Oreochromis niloticus: one gene and its partners. The protein of the gene in region 1 purifies or fractionates together with the protein of each later gene. This does not show direct contact. Links are inferred from orthologs where the notes say so. Each region holds a gene or a part of one and is shown in the gene's direction. Other genes may lie near its edges.

Region 1 (3,753 bases):
ATGCAGCTGCGCAGAGACGGCGGATGCTCCGTGATCCACCGGCGGTCCGTGCCCGTGCGTCTGCGCGTGCTTCTCTGCTTCCTGCTCCTCCTCCTCTTCCCCTCCGTCTGCCTCCTCCTCCTCCTGCTTTCTCTTCAGCTCAGTCTCAGAAACATCTTTTGGCATCTGGCTGAAGAACACACACACAAACAGCTCACCTCATCTGAAGGCAAAGTCTTTGTTTCATCGTGTGAGTATGGAAGGACAAAACTGACAAAACACTAAATCATTAACTAATAAATTAATTCATTTTTTTAAGTCTGTCGGTCGCACTCAAAACTGAGGCACTGACGGTGTTTTACTGTATGTGACAGCCATTCCTGATTTTATCAGAATCAGAATACTTTATTAATCCCTAGGGAAATTATGTGGGTTACAGTTATAGAATAATCCTTTAATTGTCCCACAAGTTGCGCCAGTACAGTAGCATTGACAAAAACAAACTAGACCATTTATCAATACAATATGTTAAGATATGAAGAATAGCCCAATATATACAATATATACAAATAATAAATATTCAGGGTTGACAGATGTGATTATAAATAAATATCAAGAAATTGACAGAAACATTACAGAGTAAGAAAGAGTGTGTGCAAAAAGGATGTAACTATTGTAGTGTTTAGTGTGTATTAGATGGACGAGTTGTACAGGGAGATGGCCACAGGCATTTTGGTAATCTCTGGTAACATTTTTGTATGCAGTATTCCGTGCAGTACAGTGCAGTATTTTTACTCACTGGGGATGTTATGAGTCTTCTATTTTATTTTTCGGCCCCTGTGAAGCTTTTTGTAGCAGAGGTGGAACGACTGCACAGTTATGGATCTGATGTGAAGACAGACTCGGTCTGGAGATACAATAAATACAAGGTCACAAACTAGCTCAGAAAGTTAGAAATCACACAAACGCTCAAATGTAAAAATAAAATAAAATAAAAGTGGAAATAAAATGAAAAACGTGACTCTGAATCCATCTCACGGACCGTGAAGTAAACTAAGGCGTTAACGCAGTTTGTTAAACAGGTAAATTATCCAGCTCCAACTCAGCCTGCAAGCCAGCAGATGGCATTCAGATCGGCTAAAGAGCAACAGAAGAAGAAAGGGCGGAAGTTGCGTCAGATTGTTTTGGTGTGTTGTCCTGGCAGCAGCGGTTAGCTACATTAGCATCTTTAGATTCAGACAGAAACATGTCAGCAGCCGAGGACGACACGGAGCTGCGGGACCTGCTGATCCAGAACCTTGAGAACAGCGGAGCTCTGAACAAGCTGAAGGTGAAAGGTCACGTTTAACGTGAGGCGCCCTGACGGCGGGATAGGCTACAGCTACCCGCAGCTAACAGGCAGCTAACGGCTACTAACCGGCTACTCAGAGACTGTTTTAGGTTTATTTTATTTAACCTGAGAGGAGAGATGAAGTTCTTATTGAGTGTAGAGGCTCAGCAGCTGTGTGAGCTCTGTTGCTGCTGGTGTCGATGAAGCAGGATCTGACCTTTCGAAAATGGAAGTACAGTTTAAACATCCGCGAGAGTAGAGGAGACATTTTATTACTAATAGCGTGTAACTGCGGCTCAGAGTAGAACCTCAAAGCTCACAGCCAAGAAGAAGAAACCTCACAGAACAAATAAAAATGGTTTTCCTTTTTTATTTCCTTTCACTCCCTGTTTTTGTCATGTGACTCGACAGCGTCAGGTGAATGGAGCTGAGAAAGACTCGCCTCCAAACCTGAAACCACTCTGATTTATATCTGATCAGTTTGTGACTTATATCTAAACTAAGCGCTGTGTGGATGGTGGAGGTCTAGTTTCGTGCGTGCTAACTTCAGCACAGGTGGGACCTGTTAGCCTAAAATCTGATCCAGGAGCAAGGAAGATTCGGGCCGAGTGCTCGTATAAAAATAATGTGAAATACAGCAAATGAATGAAACGCTGTTAGTCCTGCGACACGCTGGTGACCCGTCCAGGTGTGTCCCGCCTCGGGGAGAGGCTCCATCCCCCACGACCCTGAATAGAATGAGTGGAAGAAAACTGATGGATGGAAATGAAATAATATTTAGGAAACTCTTTTAGTTTGAAATGTCTGTCATGAATGACATGTATGTATTTACTGATTGGTTTCAATAACTGCCTGTATCGATGACATGTTCCTGCAGGCGGAGATGAGAGCGGCGGTGTTCCTGGCAATGGAGGAGCAGGACAAACTGGAGGTGAGTGATTCACACAGTGTTGATCAGTCAGTGCTGTCCGTCATTGTCCAAGATAAGGACAATGCTGGACAATACCTCCCACTCACTCTGTGAATGGTGGCCAGTCACAACAAGAGCATGAGATTACACGTAATGCAGCACTGAACAACCCCTCCATCTAATGCACAGCACACACTGAAATATCTGCACATAAAAAGGGCAGTGTTAACCATATCTATTTAATTTGTGTAGCATACTGAATTATTTATAATAAGAGCTATTTTGCTATATTTTAACTTTAGTTTAATCAGTTCCTGTTTTTAGTGTCTCGGATCGACTGTGACCACATCATTAATAAAGTATTCAAATTCAGGAACACGTGTGACAGCAGGTTCATGGTGTGTGTAGATTAAAATCAATCGTTCACTCTGGAAAAGTGAACAATTGTGGTGGGAGGAGTCAGGAAGCTGGGAGGAGTCAATGATGGTGTGACTGACCGCTTTGACCTGATCTGAGCTCTTGCTGATGTTTCTCCTCAGAATAAAAGTCCGCTGGTCAACGAGAACCTGACGAAATGTCTCAACACCAAAGACGGTGAGTTCCTCAACTTCCTCTTCCTGCCTGCAGCTGTGAGCAGGTTAACAGCGATGAAGGTCATACTGCTTCATGCTTGCTTCGTGGCTGTTAGTTTACAGTTTTACTAAATTCAGTCCAACAGAAAGACTCATCAGTGAGAGAGTTCAGAAAGGTTTAAATAATTTCAAACATGCTCTAAAGAATCCCTCACTGATGGGAGCACCCGCAAGCACCGCGGCGCAGCATCCGCAGGTTCACGATACGTTTCCTTCTTATCCTGATGTCATCGATCAGCTTCCAGACATCTGATTGGTCAGCTGGTGTGCGATTACAAACATAACCTGTTCTGAAGCAGGCCAGCCTGCAGTATGTGTTACCATGGCAATGAGTAGGAGCTGTGACAGCAAGGGTTAAGCCTGCAGTAACCTCGGTCAGCAGGCGTTGCAGCTCCTGTGTGCCCCACAGGGGGGCGCTGTGGCTTCAGCTGTCAGCTCGTCTCCTCTCAGACCACTGCAGGGAGCAGAGTTGACGAGCAGGAGTTCACCTGGATTTCAGGTGTTCATTGTGACGTTTACATGGTGTCGGTATTTTTATAAGCTGTGCTCCATCAGCAGGAATCCACTAATCAGAGCTCACTCCGACTCACACGCTGAGACTCTGGGTACATTATGTGACTTCCTGTTGGTATGTGATTTTCTGTCCTCTATTCAGCAGTGATGACAACGATGATGATGAAGATCAGAGCGTTGATCTCTTTGGCCCTCGAGGGTGTCACACAAACTTCACAAACACACAGCAGCAGGACGCCACACACATGCACGCACACACACTCGTTTAAACCACTGGGATCGAACTGGAGGCCTGCAGCTGAGTCCTGGTTGGTCTGTGGCATGAGTAGTGACACGCTCACACACTCAGTGGTGTGAAAGCTGAGCAGAGAGTTGGAGGTCAGGACGTG
Region 2 (3,753 bases), on another chromosome or scaffold:
GGGAAAGTGAATTAAATGAGCTGAACGTAAGATAAGTGGGCTGAGGTAACTTCTTGAATGAGTGGAGCATTCAGGGTGACGCCATGCAAGGAGCAGTTTATGTCTGTGTGCAATACACAATCGAGCCGCAAGGGGGCAGTAATCGCACATATGTTGAGCGTTATTCTTCTTGCCGTGCTGTGTGGCTTGACTAGCTGTTCAGGAAGCTTTGAAATATTCATGGGTGTAGCCTATATGCCAAGATTGAAGCCTCAGGGAGTACCTGGTCTTTTCAATACATCTATTGTCACACTTGTGCAAACAGGCGAATCAACACAGTAAAACTGGTTGCTTGAGGTTAGTTTGGCAGGGTGTAATCCGATGTAAATTAAAAAGACTTTCAAAGACTTTTTCTCTTATTTTGTCTGGCAATGAGTAAAAAGTGGTTAACCCAACTTCACTGAAGAGATTTCTGCCCATTCTGCTACAGTAATGCACACAATATTTTACTGCGTTTCAACAAATAGCTAGTTTAAATTTAATCAAAATAAATAAAAACTTTATTTGGCGTGTTGATGTAATGTACATATTAAAAGCAGGAAATAAAGAAAAATACACACATATACCCTCGAAATGTGTTGCCAGCATGCTTTCACTCTGATTAAATTATTAGGTACACATCTTGCCATTTTGGGTACACCTTTGAAAACTTCATGTAGATCTGTGTAGCTACCTGAAACAGTCGCTGGCCCTTTTATTGTGTGCGCAATCTGTCTGATCTATATAAACACATTTTGCTTCATCTGCCTCCCACAGTCTGTCTCCATTCTCTCCAGCTGTCCATTTTGATCACATAATTCTGGAACAAATTAAAAAAAAAAAATCTTTTCTTTTATATGTTGGTGAAGTTCATTGAACTTTTCTTGACGCAATGTCGTCCAGCTCCACATAGGCAAAAATAACTTGAGTTCAGAAGTCTTTTCTGGTTTTAAAGCCCTTCAATTCTCAGATATGTTTTTATTTCATTTTTTAAAGCACTTTTAGAAAATGCATTTCAGATTTCAGTTTTTGTTCGTTATTCTGTGAAATATTCTGGGTTTTTTGTACTGCTGCTTTTTAGACTTTATGATTTAATATAATCAAACTGGTTCAATAAATTAAGTTTCAGATACTTCAAGTATATCAGGTATGTTTCTAATCATTATTTATATAATTAAAATTATTACTGCTGCCATGGGAGCGGAGGTGGGCTTTTACCGGTGTTTCTCGTGTTTGAATTCTCGCGAGATTTCGGTGTCTCGGTTACCTACACGTCCTGGATACTCCAGTTTCACTGTTGAGAAACATCATCATAGTAACCCGGGAAAGGCGACCTCGGAGGCGGGTGGCGACATTTCTTTGAAGGAATCTCACAGCGAAACACGGGAGACGTTGTTCTCTGGACTAACTCTGAGGCGATGGGTGAATGTAGAAAAAAGTTGCTGGATTAGTTGGCAAAACTGCTAACTGACACTGGTTTTCCACATCGTTAGCTGATGCTAACGTTAGCAAACATACAGCTGAACGAAACTGAAGAAGTCGCCCGGAGAACTTTGGATTTTCTTATCATGAGGATATCGACATAAATGCGGACATCTAGACGCACCGGATCGTTTCACTGAAGGTACATATTATTACTCTCCTAAAACTGGAATAGCCAAGTACATTCATGATTTTCTATTCAGCTAGCGTTATTATTCACTCTTTCGAGTTGGCGGCTCCGACTATTCACTGGACCGAAGACATTACGCGGTACCTCATCTTTAAGTCAGACGGTATAATGAGTTACAAACATGATTTTTGAGCGCACGCAGAGTATATTGGACGACTTAACTTAGTTATTGTGAAAAACAATAATTATGAAAAATCCGTAATACCCTGGTTCTAAGTTAACACCCAATACGAGATATAAGATTAGTTTTGTTGTCCCGTTGCTCGAGTGAATAATTCCTGGATACTGTTAGCTATATTCTTTGAGTTTAAAGGCTTTTGAGTTTACTATTACTTCCTGTTTCGCATAGTTATTGTTTAACAGAATCGATAATAACAGGGCTGCTGTTAATACTGACTACAGATAGCGTTTGGATATCTCCTGATGCGCTCAGTCTGAATTCGTGTATTTCGGGCACTCGGCATTTTACAACAAGATGATATTTTTATTTGAAGGTAAGGTAAACTTATTGGCGCCGTATTCGGCGGCATAAATGCAACTCCAGGTGGCTCTAAAGCGACTATAAACACAACTAAGATCGAGTCCTGATGATTTACGCGTAAGTCAATACAGCTCATGTAAAGTTGAAGATGGCCAATTATTTCCTCCTTGCTGAACGACTGAGGTGCTGTTAAGTAACCTTTTGTACACTAGTGACACATGTGGCGTGAAGCTGCATTGCAGCAGTCAATGTCCCTGTGTCAGTGTTTTTGTAATATAGGTTCTTCCCGTGTGCGGCAGCACCGAGCCGCTGCTGCTGAAAGCTGCGTCAATCGGTTAACGAGAAGAAGTTATGCGCCATCTTGGATTTTACACGGCATTAGTGGTGAAAACACCTCCACTCTATCGGTGAAAGTGTTTTTGTCATTAAATTCTCACAGAGTATCCTCCTTTACTCCGTTGATATGTTGCCAAAGAGTTTGATTTCTCTGTTGGAAGTTTGGGGTCTCAATATATTTTCGTTTTCAAACTTTAGAAGGCCCAAATGTCTAAAAGCAGTGTGTTCACTTATACAGGAATACAGGATCATTCCGTTATACAGTAGTATTTTAAACCTGCCCTCTGTAGACTGTCTGGGTTTTACATTTACATTTAATCGGCAGAATAAGTTCACTTTGGTTGAAATCCCCCTGTTCTTTGGGTTAAATAAACTTGTGAAAGAAAAAGAGTGTGTTTCAAAAATGCTGGGGTGTGCAGTTTTTCTAAACTTAGCCAACGTCAGCATATTTCCGTAGTGAATGTGACAGCCCAGCAAAACGACATTTCCTTGTGAATTTGCTAACTTTACAAAAAGTTTAATGTTTCAGAGTTTAGCTGCTCTTTGTGTGGCGTTTTGGATTCGCACAACAGCAAATACAGCGGTCTGTGGTAGAAAGCAGTCTTTTAATAACTTTATAGAGTCGAGTGTATACTATCAGTAATTTGTTTATGGCTCAGAAAACAGAACAGGGAGGGCCACTGAAAAAGAGTGGATTTAGTTTTCTTCTTCTTCTTCTTCTCCTTCTTTTTTCCAATCTCGCCCCCAGGGCTGTGTCACGTGATTGTTATGAGGCAAAGGCATGACTTCTCAAGAATTCCTCATGACTCAACAAGTGTTAAATGTTAGTACAAAACACCCTTAAGTGTCTCACTGACTAGACTTGACTCTCGCAGATCTGTGCTGTAATTATCTGAATACATTGGCAATCGTTAATGCTGTAGTGGAAGACTTTTTCCTACTCAGGACAAAACAGCTAACAGACTTGATATATGCAGTGCCTACCATTAAAGCAGACATGTGACTAGCATTACAGGTGTTTTGAGTAAACATCACATTTTTGAGTTGTGCTTACCTTTTAGGAATGTGAGGCTGTAGAACCCGTTTTAAATGGCAGGGTAGCAGTGTTATGCTGTTGCTGTGTGACAAATTGCATACCTTTGCCAAGCCATGACTACTTTGCATTTAAACTTGTTAATATGTTGGGTATGAACTGTAGTGCCTCGTGTTTTTAAATTATTATTTGTTTGTCACTGACTTGTTTCAG
Region 3 (3,753 bases), on another chromosome or scaffold:
GGAATAAGCTAGAGTGAGCATCAACAGGAACTCGGCACACCCCACAATATTTGATCACCACCAACAGACCAGCTACTTCACAAATCCTCCTGAGTAAAGAAACTCTGCCATGCCACCCATTAATCAAGATTAGATATGAAAATATTTCACAAATCTGTTTATCTTACATTCAACAAACACAACTGCTCAATGCAGCCTTTCTCTGCAGTCTGCCAAACAAAAGACAATGCTTTCTTACACGTGAGACGCGCCGCCTGATTGATGGCCCCAAGAAAGAAAGTTCGTTGTCTCATCCTGGACAACTTTCAAAATCTTGAAATCTTTCAAAATGCTTCAAAATCTCGTAAAGGTAGTGCTAAAGCAGTCAACAAAATGACCAAAAAGGAAATGATTACATAGACGACTGTTTCACTGAATTCACTTCTTAGAATGACGTGATCGAAGGTTGTGGCTGTTCCGCCCAAACAAGATATGGAGAGTTGCTGTGTGCTCCTTTAAGTAGAAAAATCACTATAGGATTTAAGAATGGGAGCATCCACAGTTTAACTATAAATGGCACCATGCATCAGCCCCTTAGAATTAAAGAAACTTTTTACACCACATTCATTCAACTAGGAGTAGTTGATTTACCAGAATAGGGATATCTTTATTAATGCATTTAACTCCAAATCCATTTTTGCACAATTTTGCTTAGCCAAAACGGTTATTGTACACATTTATTTCCTAAAATTTAGGCCCAGTGGGGAATGCAGATTAACTTCTTTGATTTCTTTGTAATGACATGTTGAAGTATCATAGTCTTCTTGAGACGTCTCAAGAGGTTCGTCATCTGTTTTATAACTGGATAGTTTATTATGCACTCAAACTTCTCTAAATAGATTATGACTATACAGTCATTGGTTGCGACTCCCTGTGGTATGTTTTACCGCTCCTCTTTGATAGATGGCAGGAGATCTCTGGCTAGAGCTGCAAATGGCACAGTGAGGAAGAAGTGGGCGTGGGTTTGCTGGCACTACAGCGCCACTTTTGAGCGGTCGTTTATGTTGTCAACAATAACAGACCGCTGAAGTTGTCAAGCAGCGTCGAGGAAGAGTCATACATCAGTCCCGCGACGGTATAGTCTTTAGTTGGGTATGAAAGTACATTATATTGTTTTATTTTGATTAAATCCAGTCGTGTAATGCATGAAGGCACAATTAAAAACAGCAGCTCTAGACCCTGATGCTGACATTCACTGCTAGCATAGACGGTCTTTGGTTGCTAGGAGCTGAGCTGAGCTAACGCCACTGATTTAACCTTAGCGCCCTGCATTTAATGAGAGAAAGCGGTTACACTGTGCATAGATAATTGGTGAAGATTCAAAATCAGTGAAAGTCAACAATTAGCTTTGTTGTAAGGTTAACGTTGAAATGTTAACGAAAAACTTGTGGTCTGTGTATGATCTTCAGAAGAAGGGCTGGTTATGGCTTGGCTTAATAGTGACAACTGGCCATCAGTTTCTAACAAAGCTATCGAAATAGCTTGATAGCTTATTTTTGCTGCGGGCCCAGAGGGGGCACTGGCTACCCCCCAAAATTTGCTGGCACTCCCAGTGCTCCCCCTGGAAAGACTGTCCTATGTTGGGAATAATGTAATAAGGTTGCAGAAAAGCTGGTGCCAGTCCTTGGACAGATCACTGTGCATCTCAGGGCCAACATAGAAACAGGAAACGGATCACACTCTTAGATGATCTAATATTTATTTGTATTCCGTGAACAAGTTTGCTGTTAAAGTTAACTCCAGTCTGGGAGAGTGAATCTTAAGCTGCTTCTAGTCAGCTCTGCTGAGAATCAGTAAAGCCATCGTGGGACTTCCACTCAATTAATCGATCAGTTGATCAGCTAAAAGTGATTAATATAGATTTCAAAATCTTATTTGGTTTTCATATTTACCCTATTTTCAGTGATATAAACTTTAATAGCAGGAAATTAAGTAGGAATATAATTCTTTCCTTTCTCTCTTTTTTGACATATTTTCAAGTAACCTAGAGCATAATAAAACTGTAAATTCTGTTTTTGGTGTGCCACCTCAATATTTTCAGTGGCTCGCATATGGCCACCCCATATACTTATTGCTGTGTCTGTAAATGTTATGATATAGCAATACGTTAATAAATAAAGTTGAACAAGTTTGGTAAATTAATTCAGTTCAATTTTAATTTAGTGTCATTTTTATAGCAACAAATCACAGCAACAGTCACCTTAAGGTGCTTTATATTGTAAGGTAGAGATGTGCAATAATATAAAGAAAATTGAAGTAATCAAAAAAACCCTTTGAACAAGCACTTGGTGACTTTGGGAAGAAAAAAAGTCCCATTTAATAGGCAGAGACCTGCAATATAACTAAGCTCAGTTAGGGGCAGTAATTGCCACGACTGCTAGGGGGTGATGGGAGGAAGATGGGACAGAAGACGCACTGTAGAAGGGAGGCAGAGATTAATAATAATAAAAATAAAAGATATCTTAAATATAAGTTGTTTTGAACACCAGAGGAGTCTTTTAGACAAGAATGTTGCATATTCTGTGGATCATTGTTATGATGTATTAATCCTCAAACTTTCAAATAATTAATAACAAAACAATAATTTATGTACCAGTTTACAAGTGATACATAATGTTTAAGAATTAGAACTTTTTCAGCAGATGTCTAATTATATACAGTATATATATTTAAATACCTGCAGTCAACAATCGAGAGCAAAGGACAGCGCACGAGAGAGGTGAAGAAGCGAGTGCAGGTAGGGTGGAGTGGTTGGAGACGAGTGTCAGGTGTTGATTTGTGACAGAAGGATAACAGCAGTGAAAGCAAAGGTTTCTAAGGTGGTAGTGAACCTACAATGATGCTTGGTTTGGAGAAGACGAGGGCGATCTCGAAGTAGCAGAGGTGAAGATGTTAACTTTTCATTGGGAGTGGGCAGGATAGACAAGATTAGAAAAGTATATCAGAAAGACGGCTCAGGTTAAGTGGTTTGGAGGTGAAATTAAAGAGTGGTTTGGACAATATTGGACAAAAGATGTTGAATATGAAGCTGCCAGGCAGGAGGGAAACAGGAAGACTTCAGAGGAGGTTCTTGGTGTAGTAAAGTGGGACACGCAGAGGGTTGGTGTGACAGAACAGGATGCTAGAGATGGGGTGAGATGGACGCACATGATCCTCTGTGTTGACCCTTGAAAGGACCAGCTTAAGGAAAAAGACAAAGATGTAATCATATACACAGAAATAGGAGAATTTTCTACTTAAATTGAAGCAATCGTATGAAAAATACGATATGGTGTAAAAGTAAAGTTGCAGTGATGTGTGCTGTTTTTCATTACTGTGATCTTGAAGTATTCCTACCCATTTACATAGTTCTCTTTGTCTTATTTTGAATATTTTTATTCCTAGATCAAAGATGGTCCAGGACAGCGCTCAGATTCGGCGGCAGGGTGCTCAGGACTTTATGGCTTACTATGAGTTTGCCTGTGCCAGGCAGGAATCTGTCCCCCTTCCTGCAGTTAAAATGAACCTCAACAAAGGGATGCTGGACTTTAATGGAGACAAGCTGAAGCTAACAGACTGGCCACCCGTTCTCAGCTCTATATCCATTAACAAACACCTGCACCACATAGCAATAAGTAGCACACACCAAGCTAGTTTGGCTTCTGGAGAGGCAGGTAAGTTATTGAAACAGTTAATACAATCTTAATTGTCTGTGTTAGAAACTTGTTGATTTTC

What was found.
Region 2: the proteins of cep43 (region 1) and cep350 purify together in Homo sapiens (affinity purification with mass spectrometry; 6 studies listed by BioGRID and IntAct, counting the BioPlex papers as one, with this or other methods). This does not show direct contact. The link is inferred for Oreochromis niloticus from reciprocal best matches to the Homo sapiens genes CEP43 and CEP350.
Region 3: the proteins of cep43 (region 1) and cep78 purify together in Homo sapiens (affinity purification with mass spectrometry; 3 studies listed by BioGRID and IntAct, with this or other methods). This does not show direct contact. The link is inferred for Oreochromis niloticus from reciprocal best matches to the Homo sapiens genes CEP43 and CEP78.

What each region holds. Positions count from the first base shown.
Region 1 is NC_031980.2:25,521,588-25,525,340, forward strand, and holds the start of cep43 (centrosomal protein 43), read left to right. Parts: upstream 1-1,176; 5' UTR 1,177-1,225; coding exon 1,226-1,309; intron 1,310-2,186; coding exon 2,187-2,240; intron 2,241-2,758; coding exon 2,759-2,813; intron 2,814-3,753. Other genes in the region: mboat2b (lysophospholipid acyltransferase 2b), read right to left, coding at 1-2. UniProt on the Homo sapiens protein: Required for anchoring microtubules to the centrosomes. Required for ciliation.
Region 2 is NC_031986.2:44,022,917-44,026,669, forward strand, and holds the start of cep350 (centrosome-associated protein 350), read left to right. Parts: upstream 1-1,286; 5' UTR 1,287-1,642; intron 1,643-3,255; 5' UTR 3,256-3,330; intron 3,331-3,753. UniProt on the Homo sapiens protein: Plays an essential role in centriole growth by stabilizing a procentriolar seed composed of at least, SASS6 and CPAP. Required for anchoring microtubules to the centrosomes and for the integrity of the microtubule network.
Region 3 is NC_031977.2:24,825,523-24,829,275, reverse strand, and holds the start of cep78 (centrosomal protein of 78 kDa), read left to right. Parts: upstream 1-961; 5' UTR 962-1,114; exon of another isoform or gene 1,115-1,131; intron 1,132-3,423; 5' UTR 3,424-3,430; coding exon 3,431-3,692; intron 3,693-3,753. UniProt on the Homo sapiens protein: Centriole wall protein that localizes to mature centrioles and regulates centriole and cilia biogenesis. Involved in centrosome duplication: required for efficient PLK4 centrosomal localization and PLK4-induced overduplication of centrioles.